3 linked regions of the Sus scrofa genome follow. Each later gene encodes a partner of the first gene's protein in a complex. Links are inferred from orthologs where the notes say so. Each region holds a gene or a part of one and is shown in the gene's direction. Other genes may lie near its edges.

Evidence for each region.
Region 2: the proteins of NAA35 (region 1) and NAA38 are in contact, whole or in part, in a cryo-EM structure (PDB 7MX2), measured with the Homo sapiens proteins. The link is inferred for Sus scrofa from reciprocal best matches to the Homo sapiens genes NAA35 and NAA38. Residues at the interface, in NP_001308810.1 of Homo sapiens: Val30, Asp31, Ile32, Thr33, Phe36, Ala39, Cys40, Leu43, Leu45, Glu47, Leu48, Leu49, His50, Asp51, Phe54, Glu58, Ala59, Ala62, Ile63, Glu64, Met65, Met66, Ala72, Gly73, Met74, Gln306, Arg307, Leu309, Pro310, Pro311; in NP_001307854.1 of Homo sapiens: Ala41, Arg42, Leu45, Glu46, Leu48, Leu49, Arg61, Phe67, Leu68, Cys69, Thr70, Asp71, Arg72, Cys74, Ile77, Arg97, Val98, Leu99, Gly100, Leu101, Ala102, Met103, Val104, Pro105, His108, Ser111, Ile112, Glu113, Val114.
Region 3: the proteins of NAA35 (region 1) and NAA30 are in contact, whole or in part, in a cryo-EM structure (PDB 7MX2), measured with the Homo sapiens proteins. The link is inferred for Sus scrofa from reciprocal best matches to the Homo sapiens genes NAA35 and NAA30. Residues at the interface, in NP_001308810.1 of Homo sapiens: Leu45, Gly46, Leu48, Leu56, Ala59, Met60, Ala62, Glu64, Lys69, Glu121, Phe313, Pro314, Arg315, Ala444, Leu510, Glu511, Leu512, Glu517, Pro605, Lys606, Phe607, Glu608, Leu609, Asp610, Val614, Arg615, His618, Arg619; in NP_001011713.2 of Homo sapiens: Glu221, Pro238, Ser240, Tyr242, Thr243, Arg245, Tyr246, His249, Asn250, Lys304, Ile324, Glu334, Asn335, Leu336, Gly337, Val339, Arg340, Asp341, Lys342, Arg343, Phe345, Arg346, Tyr347, Tyr348, Leu349, Leu359, Trp360, Leu361, Arg362.

What each region holds. Positions count from the first base shown.
Region 1 is NC_010452.4:29,319,902-29,324,155, reverse strand, and holds the start of NAA35 (N-alpha-acetyltransferase 35, NatC auxiliary subunit), read left to right. Parts: upstream 1-1,446; 5' UTR 1,447-1,609; exon of another isoform or gene 1,610-1,740; intron 1,741-2,436; 5' UTR 2,437-2,441; coding exon 2,442-2,565; intron 2,566-4,254. UniProt on the Homo sapiens protein: Auxillary component of the N-terminal acetyltransferase C (NatC) complex which catalyzes acetylation of N-terminal methionine residues. N-terminal acetylation protects proteins from ubiquitination and degradation by the N-end rule pathway.
Region 2 is NC_010454.4:53,110,748-53,113,748, reverse strand, and holds NAA38 (N-alpha-acetyltransferase 38, NatC auxiliary subunit), read left to right. Parts: upstream 1-1,501; 5' UTR 1,502-1,725; coding exon of another isoform or gene 1,726-1,765; coding exon 1,766-2,180; intron 2,181-2,340; coding exon 2,341-2,453; 3' UTR 2,454-2,500; downstream 2,501-3,001.
Region 3 is NC_010443.5:186,528,455-186,532,590, forward strand, and holds the start of NAA30 (N-alpha-acetyltransferase 30), read left to right. Parts: upstream 1-1,334; 5' UTR 1,335-1,801; intron 1,802-2,065; 5' UTR 2,066-2,066; coding exon 2,067-2,831; intron 2,832-4,136. UniProt on the Homo sapiens protein: Catalytic subunit of the N-terminal acetyltransferase C (NatC) complex. Catalyzes acetylation of the N-terminal methionine residues of peptides beginning with Met-Leu-Ala and Met-Leu-Gly.

The sequences.
Region 1 (4,254 bases):
GTGTACTTCACTGAACTTTTACAAATGAATTTAGCCATATAACCACTACCATGATCAAGATTTGAACATTTCCATCCCTTCCAATCACTTAGCCATATTCCAATTAATCCTGCCTCACACCTCCTCCCGCTCTGGCAGTCACTGCTCTGTTTTCTGTCATTACAGATTAAATTTGTCTTTTTAAAAATTACATATAAAATTATAGTCTAGTCTTTTGCTCATACTGATTTTTTTTTTTCCCTCTTTAGGGCAGAACCTGCAGCACAAGGAAGTTCCCGGGCTAGGGGTCAAATTTGGAGCTGCAGCTACCATCCTATACCACAGCCACAGCAATGCAGGATCCGAGTGATGTCTGCAACATACACCACAGCTCATGGCAACACCGGTTCCTTAACCCACTGAGTGAGGCTAGCAATCGAACCCACATCCTCATAGAAACTAGTCAGGTTCTTAACCTCCTGAGCCACAACAGGAACTCCCATAATGATTTCCTTTGCTCAGAATTTTTTTGAGATTCATATTTTTGCATGTCAAGTACTCATCCCTGTTTGTCAATAACTACTATTCATTATATGAATAATTACACATCATCGTATGGATATGCCACAAGTTGTTTATCTGCTCATTAAGGTTGTTGCCAGTTTTTGGTCTTTAAAGCTACAAAAATTAATGTACAAGTTTTTGTGTGGACCAATGGCTTGGTCTTGTAAGTGCATGATTAATTTTATAGTAAAAGATGAACTGTTTATCAAAGAGGTTGTATCCTTTTGCATTCCCCATCAGCAACATCTGAGTTCCAGCTCCAGCAAATTGGAGCTCCAACTGTTCTGTGTCCTCAACATTGGGTATCATCTCTTAAACTTTAGCCATTTTATTGGCAACGTGGTGGTAAAGATGCATTTTGTTTCCTACCCGTAGTAGTCTACTTATTTAATTGCACTTTAAAAATGATCATTTTACTAATTTTAGGAAAGCTTTAAACCATGTAATGGGTCTAAAAGAAAATGACTTGATTCTGCTGATATTTTGTTTCCATTCTTCCTCATGAACTCCCCAGATTCTCTAGGAAACATAAATCAAGTGTCAGGCAAAACCAACTCGACGGAGCTTTCAGAGCTGAGCTCTTCATTCACAGCCCCAACATCAAGGGTCCACACCTACTTCCACTCCTTCCTCCTGATTCTCTTCACCTTTCTAAGAATTTCCCAGGGAGCTGCGCGGGACGAGGCGGGGCGGGCTCTGGGTCCCCAGGCTCCGCCCCTTACTGGGACCCACCCACTAACCAGGTCGCTGCCCAAGGCTGGAGGAGGAAGATAGCTTCCGGTCTTGCGATTGCCTCTAATCTCGCGAGAAGAGAAGATGGCCTCCAACGGCCGAATGACGGCAGTGGCTAGGAAGGGGGTGTGGCCGGGAGCGCGAAGTCCCCTGGCGTGAGGGAGAGGAGGCGGGGTCGCGCGCACTGGGCGTACGCATGCGCGCACGCGGATGGTCGGGCTGGGCTGAGAGGGGAGGGGGCGGCGGCGGCGGCGGCGGCGGCAGTAGCCGAGGCGGCGTCTTTATTTCCGCGGTTCGGACTGTGTGGCGGCGCGAGTGGCCACGGGAGAAGTAGGTAGGAACCACCGTGCGGAGCCCTTGAGACTTCCTCCTACCCGTGTCCGACAGCCGCAGCCCCTCGCGCGTGTGGCAGACCCGGGGGACTCCAGGTCACCCTGCGGCCCCGGCCCTCCCGCCGCGCTTCAGGTAGGAGCTACGGGCTCCCCAGTGTCCGCCGAGGGCCCGGCCTTACACAGTGTTACCGGGCGACGACCTGGCACCGGGCATGCCCGTCCTCCCGCGCGACGGCAGCTCTGTCCTTGCTTCCGTGCCTTTGGGACCGGGCCGGGCTGACCCGGGTGAGCCGGGTCCCCGCTTCAGGTGCACCTCCGCCCTAAGCCCGATGGCTGGGACCCCGTGGTGCGCTCCCTTGTGCGGTGCCCCCCGGACAGGCCATGCTGGGGTCCTGCCGAGCGGAGAGAGGTTGATCCAGCAAGCTCCGGTAGGGGAGGGACCCCCTTGACTTGAGTGGTTGCCGCATGGGGTCTTGGGCTGCGAGAGGGGACCTTGAAGAGTGCCTTGGTTATTTGTGGCCAGCGTTGAAAGTTGGAAACAGTGGAGTTGGTTCTCTTTGGGCCAGTGCTGGGATGGTTTGTGATTTTTCTTATGAAATAGGCAAACTTGTTTATGAGCCCTCGTAGATGGTGGACCAGTAGTGTTAATTAACGTGAAATTTAATTGCATTAAGGTAATTTTTTACAGTACCGTCCACAAACTCAAAAGAGCTCTGCCCAGACAGTTTAGTAAGACTTTCATCCAGTACTTAAACAGACACACATGGTTTGCCAGTACCCTTGTCCTGAAAGCTACATCCTCTCTTTTACACCAGTATTAATTTTATAGGCATAATGGTTATGAAAGCTTCTGTAGAAGATGATGATTCAGGATGGGAGCTCAGTACACCAGAAAAGATGGAAAAAAGCAATACGAACTGGGTGGACATAACCCAAGATTTTGAAGAAGCTTGTCGAGGTGAGTTTGAAGTTTTGAAATAGAAGTTCAAAATTTGAGAAAGGGTGCAATGAAATGTGGATTGTGATTTCTAAACTGTAGCAGTAAATGAAAAAGAAAATCAACAGGTAAGTGCGGTTTATTGAGCTTGTTAACCACACTCATTCTCTATTTTCTGATTTTAACTTTTGTTTGAAGCCAGTTTATATATATCATGAAATACAGACATTGAGGCAGTTTCTTCTGTTAACATGTTCTAACTTTAATAAGTTTGAGAGTACATAGCAATAATTTCAAACTGCGGAAATAGGAATTCTGTTGCCCCAAAGACAATAGTGTTTGTGTATATTTGAGGTTTGAAAATGGTCACATCACATCATTTCCCAGCTTAAGATCTTCCGTTGGCTTCCTGCTGTATGTAGAATAAAATTTAAACTTCTTCCCTGTGGCCAATATGATCTGGTGCCTGCCAACAGCTCAGACTGTTTTTTGTACCACTGCTCCACTGGGCTCATTACGTTGGTCCCAAGATCCTTAATAAACACATCAGGGTCGGTTCCCCAGGTGTTCACATCACAGGCTTCTTCTTGACCACTTAAATGTTAGCTTCACAGTGAGATTTTCAGAAAACAACCAATCAAAGCAGATTCATGGGCTGCACCTGCGGCATGTGGCAGTGCCCAGGCTGGGGGTCGAATCAAGTGCTACAGCTGCTGGCCTACGCCAGATCTGAGCCACGTCTGCAACCTATAGCACAGCTCACTGAGTGGGGCCAGGGATCAGACTGACGTCCTCATGGATACTAGTCGGGTTCATAAGCTGCTGAGCCACAATGGGAACTCCCTCATTCTTTTTTATTCAACTCCACCTCAGTTGAATCACCCTGTTTTATTTTCTTCATAGCACTTATCCACTGTTGGAAACCATTTTCAACTATTGTTTATTGTCACCTTTACCCACTGAAATATGAGCTCTGTGAATGCAGAGATCCTGTCAATAATCCTGGTGCATAGCACATTGCCTGGCACATAGTCAAGTTCAAATGCTTGGGCATAAATGATTGGCGAAGTGAGCATGTTTGTTGTTTGAGGGGAAAGCGTCTCGGCAAGAATAAAGATAAGAGAAAGGAACAAATGATAGAGTGAGGGCTGGAACTTTAAGAGAGGATGGAATCAGGAACAAGGTAGAGAAATTAACCTGAGGGAAAAAAGTCGGAACATAGTGAGGGGGAACGGAGGTTAGGATGGTGATGATACAGGTATATTTCTAAGTGGGTGAGGAGGAAGGGTGGAGGGATTCATACCTTGATGGCTTCTGTTAGTGAACAAGAGGATTAGACTTTTTGTGATGTTGGAGTGTGTTTAGAATAGTGCTCTTAAGGAGAGGAATAAAGACTTAGAGCAGCTGCAGGTGGAAAGGGAGCCAGCTGAGTATACGCAGAGTGATAAATCATGTGCTCACCCTTCAACTGTTTTGAAATACATGTCCAGTTAAAGGATGCCTGAGTGAGATAGTGGAAAAAACATTAGACTGGGAGTTGGGTGACTGCCCACGTATGTCTGTCTGAAGGAGTGAGAAAGAAGTGAAAGTTAGTGTTCTTAAACTGTTAAGTGGAGCACACCTGTCATCTTGCACTGATTTTAAATGATCAGTATTAGAGGGCTGTCAGTATAAACCTGAATGGGAAAAGTTTTATGAAGTATTTATGGC
Region 2 (3,001 bases), on another chromosome or scaffold:
CCAGCATGCAATGAATGGCCCCCAAATCCTACCAGCCTTTAGGGCAGCCACTTCTAATAAACAGTTGGCCCTAAAGTCACTGCCCCCTCACCTCATCTCCACAATAGAGCAGGCTAATAAGAGAGTCCACCTGCAACTGCTGTTCAAAATTCAACATGAACTTGGGAGGACCAAACTACGACGCCCAAACTACCCTGGACTTCTGAGGGAGTCTCTCACACCTTGTGGCTCAGCCACTCCTCGAATTGCTAACCCCGGGGACCTACATGGTCGTCTTCTTCCCTTGGTCACCCGTAAAAGCGGAAAAAAAATACAGCTGCCACTAGTTACGGAGAGCTGCTGGCCTGCAGATCTGCGAGGAGGTTTGCTGGGACTCCCAGTTCCTTCTCACCTGCCCCCAGGCACCAGTTCTCACCTCCAGCGTGTGTTCCTGCGACGTGAGCGTGTTAATGATGCGGATAGTCCGGGTCTTGGCGGACAGCCGCCCCACCTCGTAACGCGACCCCTGCCACCAAGGCTTCCCGAAATCATTGGCCCAGTCCGAACGCGGCAGCTGAGGTGGCACGTGCAGAAAGCGGCCCCAGGGGGTGCGGTATCTCAGGCAACCGGTCAGCGGATCTATGTGCTTGCGGATCTTTAAAGTAGGGTTTGGCGGAGGGGGGTCTGAGCAGTCACTATCTCGGGCTCCGGTCAGCCCCTCCGCCTCGTCCCCGCTCTACAGTGCCCCTCCCCCCAACCCCAGGTTCCAGCAGAACTCACGTCTCCGGTGTCTGGGTCGAACCAGTGGCTGATGTCCTGGCCCGCAACTTCCACGATGGGTTTCAGCAGCAGGTCTCCTGGGAAGGGGCATTCGTGTCAGTGCTAGACACCCAAGAACCAAGCACCCCCAAACGCACGCCCGACGCCGGCCCAAAAGTGCAGCCCTTACCCTTGTACTCCTGTGCCAACGGCGTCAGGTCGTACACGTTTCCCAGGTAAGACACCCAGAGGTCTTCCAGCTGGTTGTGTTGGGCCACCTCGGCCGGCGTGAAATAGCGACGCTGGAAATACTCAAAGTCTGGCCCGGCCACTAGGCCCCGGCGCAGCATGGCTCTCGCCCTCTCACCGGCTCCTTCAGTTGCGCTCTTGCTTTTCAGCGCGCACTCACTACCGCATCCTCCCTCTCGTCCGGGAACTAAGGAGAGGGCGTTTATCCGCTGACATGGAAACCATTGTCCTTTTCCGGCCACCGTCTGTCAAGATCAGACGCTGTGAGGGCGAGGTGGGGCTCACGGGAAACGTGGTCCGATTCCGACGTTGAAGTAATTGAGTGGTGTCCTCCGGAGTTCCGGGGGGAGGAAAAGACCCTCCGTTTTAATTTTGAGTGGCCTGGGCTATAGGGAGTGCTTGGGACGTACTATCTCGCGAGGCAGAAAAACAAGGGAGTGGGGAGTGCGATTAAGAAAAAAGGTATTCTCGCTTCCTTCCAGGGTTCCTAAAGGATATGTAAGAACCGAGAGAGGTGAAAACTTCTCGCGATATCTGAGGACATCCGGCGACCTAGACCTCAGCGAGCCGTTCGCCGAAGCAGGAGACGCTCGCGAGATCTCTGCAGTTGCCGAGGAGACGAGGAGGGGAGGTGATCTCGCGAAAGAAAACAGGTCGGGAGCGCTCGCGAGATCTCAGACCCCCCGGAGCCGAAAGGTTCTCAGCAAGTTGAAGGGCCTGGAGGAGGCCCGCGGACAAATGGCCGGAGCTGGACCAACTATGCTGCTACGAGAGGAGAATGGCTGTTGCAGCCGGCGTCAAAGCAGCTCCAGCGCCGGGGTTAGCGCGGGCTCGGGTTCTGGGATTGAGGGGCCGTCGGGGAGTAAAGTGGGAGGACGGAGGGAGAACTGCAGCTCCCGGCAGCCTCTGGGCTTCCTGCGAGCGCCCCGCGGGCTGTTGGGAGCTGTGGTTCCTCGGGCGGGCAGCAGCCGGGGCGGTGCGGTCTGAGCACATGTCCCGCCCCGCGCAGGACTCAGACGGGGAGCGCGAAGACTCGCCGTCTGCGCGCGCTAGGCAGCAGCTGGAGGCGCTGCTCAACAAGACTATGCGGATTCGCATGACAGATGGACGGACACTGGTCGGTTGCTTCCTCTGCACCGACCGCGACTGCAATGTTATCCTAGGCTCGGCGCAGGAGTTCCTCAAGCCGTCGGGTCAGTGCCTGGGGAATGCATACCCGCCTGGGAATGCCTCGGAGCATTTCCCCTTCAGGGCCTGGCTGTATCCCTCATTTTCGGGGGCCAGAAGCTGTAGCTCAGAAGGGGCGGGACCGACGCTGGCCTGCCTCCCTGATGCTCTGATCCTTCTTTCCAGATTCCTTCTCTGCCGGGGAACCCCGTGTGCTGGGCCTAGCTATGGTACCTGGACACCACATCGTTTCTATTGAGGTGCAAAGAGAGAGCCTGGCGGGGCCTCCCTATCTCTGAGCCCGACCGCGCATGCCTTTCAAACTTCATTAAACCTGTCACTGACATGGCCTGTGTCTGTGTGTGGTTGGGATGCGGGGGGCAAGGATTGCACACCTCCCCCCTAGAGGAAGAAGAGGTTTATCTGAGGTCGGGGGCACTCTCAGCGCTCCTTCCACGTCTAGTGCTGCCAGAGGTGCCCTTATGGTTCGGGGGTGGGGATGGGGGACAGGCTGAGCCTTAGACCCACAGGCCCCAGGGTGGGCCCCATCTTCCCTCCCACGCTGCTGGTCCGGGAGGGGGTGGTGTCATCCTGCTCCGGAAGGCCCATTGTTTCCCTCCCCGGCCTGGCAACACCGAGTTCCTCTAAGCTGGGGTCAGAGAACAGGCTCAGATCCCCAAGGGGAGCAGGACAGGCGACACAGGCTGGGCCTCCTCCACTCTCTTGATGGGGAGGTGACTTTGGGGTCAGGGACAAGGGCTCTGGGGTCTGGACAGGAAGGACGGGCTAGTGCGATAAGGGAAGGCCGGGAGGCCGAAGGATGCTCCCTTCTGCACGCTAGAGCCAC
Region 3 (4,136 bases), on another chromosome or scaffold:
CTCCAGCCAGTATCAACTACCAAGGAAGAGTGAAAAGTTTTCAGATGATTCCAATCCCCACAGTTGAGGCTCTGTGCATAATGGAGCAGAGAAAGTCATCCCTGTTGTACCCTGTGTGAATTCTTGACCCACAGAATCTGTGAGCATGGTTGTTTTATACCACATGTTGTGGGGGTTATTTGCAGCCATACTAAGGTGAAAAGTACCAATGTATATTTATTTCAATCTCTTAAACAATAGCGTAATTAATAATATTTTATAGTATTTGTGTATCATAAAATCATCCCTGTATTGATAGATCCTTAGGTGCTTTGGAATTATTTATTCCTACTACACACAAGGCTGAAATAAATAAGCTTCTACATGTCTATCTATGCACACATGTATTTCTACAAAAACCTACAAATGAGTTTTTATAAAAACCTATACATGAGTACATGTAAGATATTTAGGACAGTGTCTGGCACATAGTAACACATTTTATTATTACCATTTTTATCACTATAGTTTGACCTTCCAGATAGAGGATTATAGTTTTTCCTTAACATCTTCAGTGACAAGGACCCTAACAGTTGTACCTAACAGCAATGCTACAATCTATCTTATTTTTTAGTTTGGATTATGGCAAAAGTTGCGAATACTCAAGAGAATTGTATCCCTGAAAACATCTACCTGCTGCACACCTGCCTAGCTCTACAGTTTAAAAAACTTAATTTGCTCCGTGAGCTGGTGAGTTACACTACCTGCATTCCTCTTCAAACAGATGGGCTGAAAACCGTCCGCTGGGGATTAGAGCGGAAAGAGTGGAGCCTGGCGCTCAGCGCGTGCAGCAGTTCTCTTCCCTTTGCATCCACTCGCTCCGGCCGACCACTTGGCAGAGGGCAAGGAGGAGGTTCAGGACACCTCTTGACCGGTGCTTTTCACCTTATCACAATTCGGGTCACGTTTAGGAATGTGCCTCTTAGCTATTATCACTCTCTTTCACCATCTGTAACTCTGCCCCAGGTATGCTTGCAGCTGCCCAGCACCTGTTAATTCCATTTACCGCCAGTTTTCCTCGGCGGGGTGAAGGGGATAAGGAGAGAGGCAGCTTCTTCTGCCTCGAAGTGGTAAAGCCTAAACTTAATTCACACAGCATACCACCAGGTTTCAACAGCTATTCCCATGTTTTCACAGTGCAAATATTTTAACTTCTCCTTTTCAAGGATTTTTCTCTCCTGATTTGCTCCATTTTTAAGGGACTCGGGTAACCTGCCCCCTGACCCCAGTCAGGGCAAAGGTTAAAACGTCATACAGCTGCGGAAAAGCATTTCTAGATTTGCCCAAGCCCGGGGGAGCAGGCCCCGAGCTGGCGGTCTACGCCGCAGCTCCTTGGAACGCGTGTCCCGTCCAGCCCTCTTCGGCCCGGGGCTGCAAGGTCCACGGGCTGAGGAGCCCCAAAGCCGAGGACTGTGCGTTCAGAGCTAGCTACTCCACAGCCTTCTCTAACTTCCCCACCCCACAGCCCCACCCATTAGCACGCGGTCTCCCCGGAGGCCCGCAGGAGACACCACCGTCCCCGCCCCTCCACAGGTCATCTCCTTCCACGCCCCTTTCCCTCGGCCCTGGCAGCCGGCAGGCAGGGAAGTGTCGTAAAGCCAGGCCCAGGAAACTTTACCCGGGGTAACAGCCGAGGCGCTTTACGGCGACGGCGGTAGAGTGTGAGCCTTGGTGGCGGAGGAGGCGGCCGCGGCGGCGAGGGAGGCGGCGGCGGCTGAGGAGGAAGAGGAGTGGCGGCAGTGGCGGCGGGGACCTGTGCGGGGTGAGCTGCGCGGAGGGGACGGGGAGAGGCCGCGGTGACAGGCCCGGCGGATGGGCGCGGGCGGACCAGGACGGTGGCCGGCTGAGCTACTGGGCGGCGCTGAAGAGCTGGGGGGGGCGCGCGAAATTGGGGGGCCAGCCCTGTGAGGGACGGTTTCTGCCTTTGTTTCCCCCCAACCCCCGGCGCCCCCGCCCCTCGCCCCCTCTGCTCCGCGCTAGTCGGCTGGGTCTCATGGCCTTCTCTCTCTGTCTGTGTCGCCTCTAGGATGGCGGAGGTACCGCCTGGGCCTAGCAGCCTCCTCCCACCACCAGCACCTCCGGCCTCGGCGGCGGCCGAGCCCCGCTGTCCCTTCCCGGCGGGGGCCGCCCTCGCCTGCTGCAGCGAGGACGAGGAGGACGACGAGGAGCACGAAGGCGGCGGCAGGAGCCCGGCGGGCAGCGAGGCGACGGCTGCGACCAAGGGGCGTCCGTGCCTCCGCTGCCCTCAGCCGCCGCAGGAGCAGCTGCAGCTCAACGGATTGATCAACCCCGAACTGCGGCACCTACGGGCGGCCACCTCTCTCAAGACCAAGGTTTTGAGTGCGGCCGAGGCGGCCACGATCACGGCCACCCCCGACGGGGGTCCCAGAGTGACTGCAACAAAAGGAGCCGGGGTACACTCGGGCGAGGGCCCCCCTCATTGCCTCCCCAATAATGCGAGAACTGCGCTCCCCAGCCCGGCAGAGGCAGCGGCGGCGGCGAGCGATCCCGCGGCGGCCCGCAATGGACTGGCGGAGGGCACCGAGCAGGAGGAGGAGGAGGACGAGCAGGTGCGGCTGCTGTCTTCATCCCTGACCGCCGGCTGCAGTATAAGAAGCCCCTCAGGCAGGGAGGTTGAGCCTGGGGAGGATCGGACGATACGTTATGTCCGATATGAATCCGAGCTACAAATGCCCGATATCATGAGACTGATCACCAAAGATCTGTCTGAACCCTACTCCATTTATACCTATAGATATTTTATTCACAACTGGCCACAGCTGTGCTTCTTGGTAAGTGGATGGAATGAAAAAAGGGTGAACCCAGCAGAGAGATCCAGGCCGTACAGGGCAGGGAGTGTGAGGGCTGGAGTGGCAGTGGATGTGAACTGCCTTTCCTAGTACCTTACATGATGTAAAGTGCGTGTACACACTGCTAGTTATTTAATGAAACTGTTTTGAAGGTAAGACTTCAGGATCCGGGTTAACTTGATATTGATGTAAATGCAACCAGCCTGTATGATGTATGTTGGGGGTCTTTGTATCCTGTTTGCATTAGCTTATAATCATGTTTGACTGTCTTTAATTATCCTCCCTCATACTCAAAGCACTTTGCAATCATTTAATTTGAACACGGTTCTTTTCGGATACAGGCCTTATTAATCTCTCAATTACAGCCATAATCAGGGAAGAGTGTATGTATGCATAAACATGTTTTGGTGAATTTGATTGTCAGTAAACTTTCTGTGGCCACATTGGAGAATTAAATCTTACAAACATATTCCATAATTATGGAGATTGTTTCCTTTTACTTTAACAGGACAGTTAATTTAGTTGTAGACAGCCCCTTTCTGGTGCACAACTTCAGAAGGTGCTACTAACACTTCTGATGGCTGAAAGACTCTTGAAACTTGAACGGAATACCCATTTGGGGAGTGTAGGAAACATGTGAAATTGTTTCTAATCTAATTTTTTTTAAGAAGCAAATCAGAGATATGCCTAAATACTAGTAATAGTACTAGCTTGTGTGAAATATAACTGACAGAAATTTTTTACTTATATATGGTAGAAAAGACTTGGCTACCAAACAAGCTGAATAATTTTTTTTTTTTTAACTTTTGTAGTACTGATAGTACCAATAACTTCCCAGTAATATTGACCCATTTCAGTCTGTATGAAACCTTTCACTTAAATATTGACAGCAGGTATGTGCTTTGTATGTTGTACTTACAAGCGTGTCATTTCCATTGAATTTTATCAAGGAGAGGCCACATGGTTTTAAGGAGTATTTTATTATGTGTGAAGGGAAAAGCCACTACCATTATTTATTGTTTTAAAATTGACTTACCTGCATTTATTAATGCCCTGCAAGATGCTTTAACAGTACTTTAGAAATCTGTCTTTTTGATTCTTCAGGTTGGTGGTAATCTGAAAATATAACTTCAGTATTTTAGATTATGATGGTTCTGCTAGTTTCTGTGTTCACTTTGCTAAATTTCAATTTAGTATGTTTGTTTAAACTGGGAACTATTTTATATTCTACAAAACTGCTCTTACAGGATTCTAACCATTTCATCAAAATAGAAAACCTAAGACATG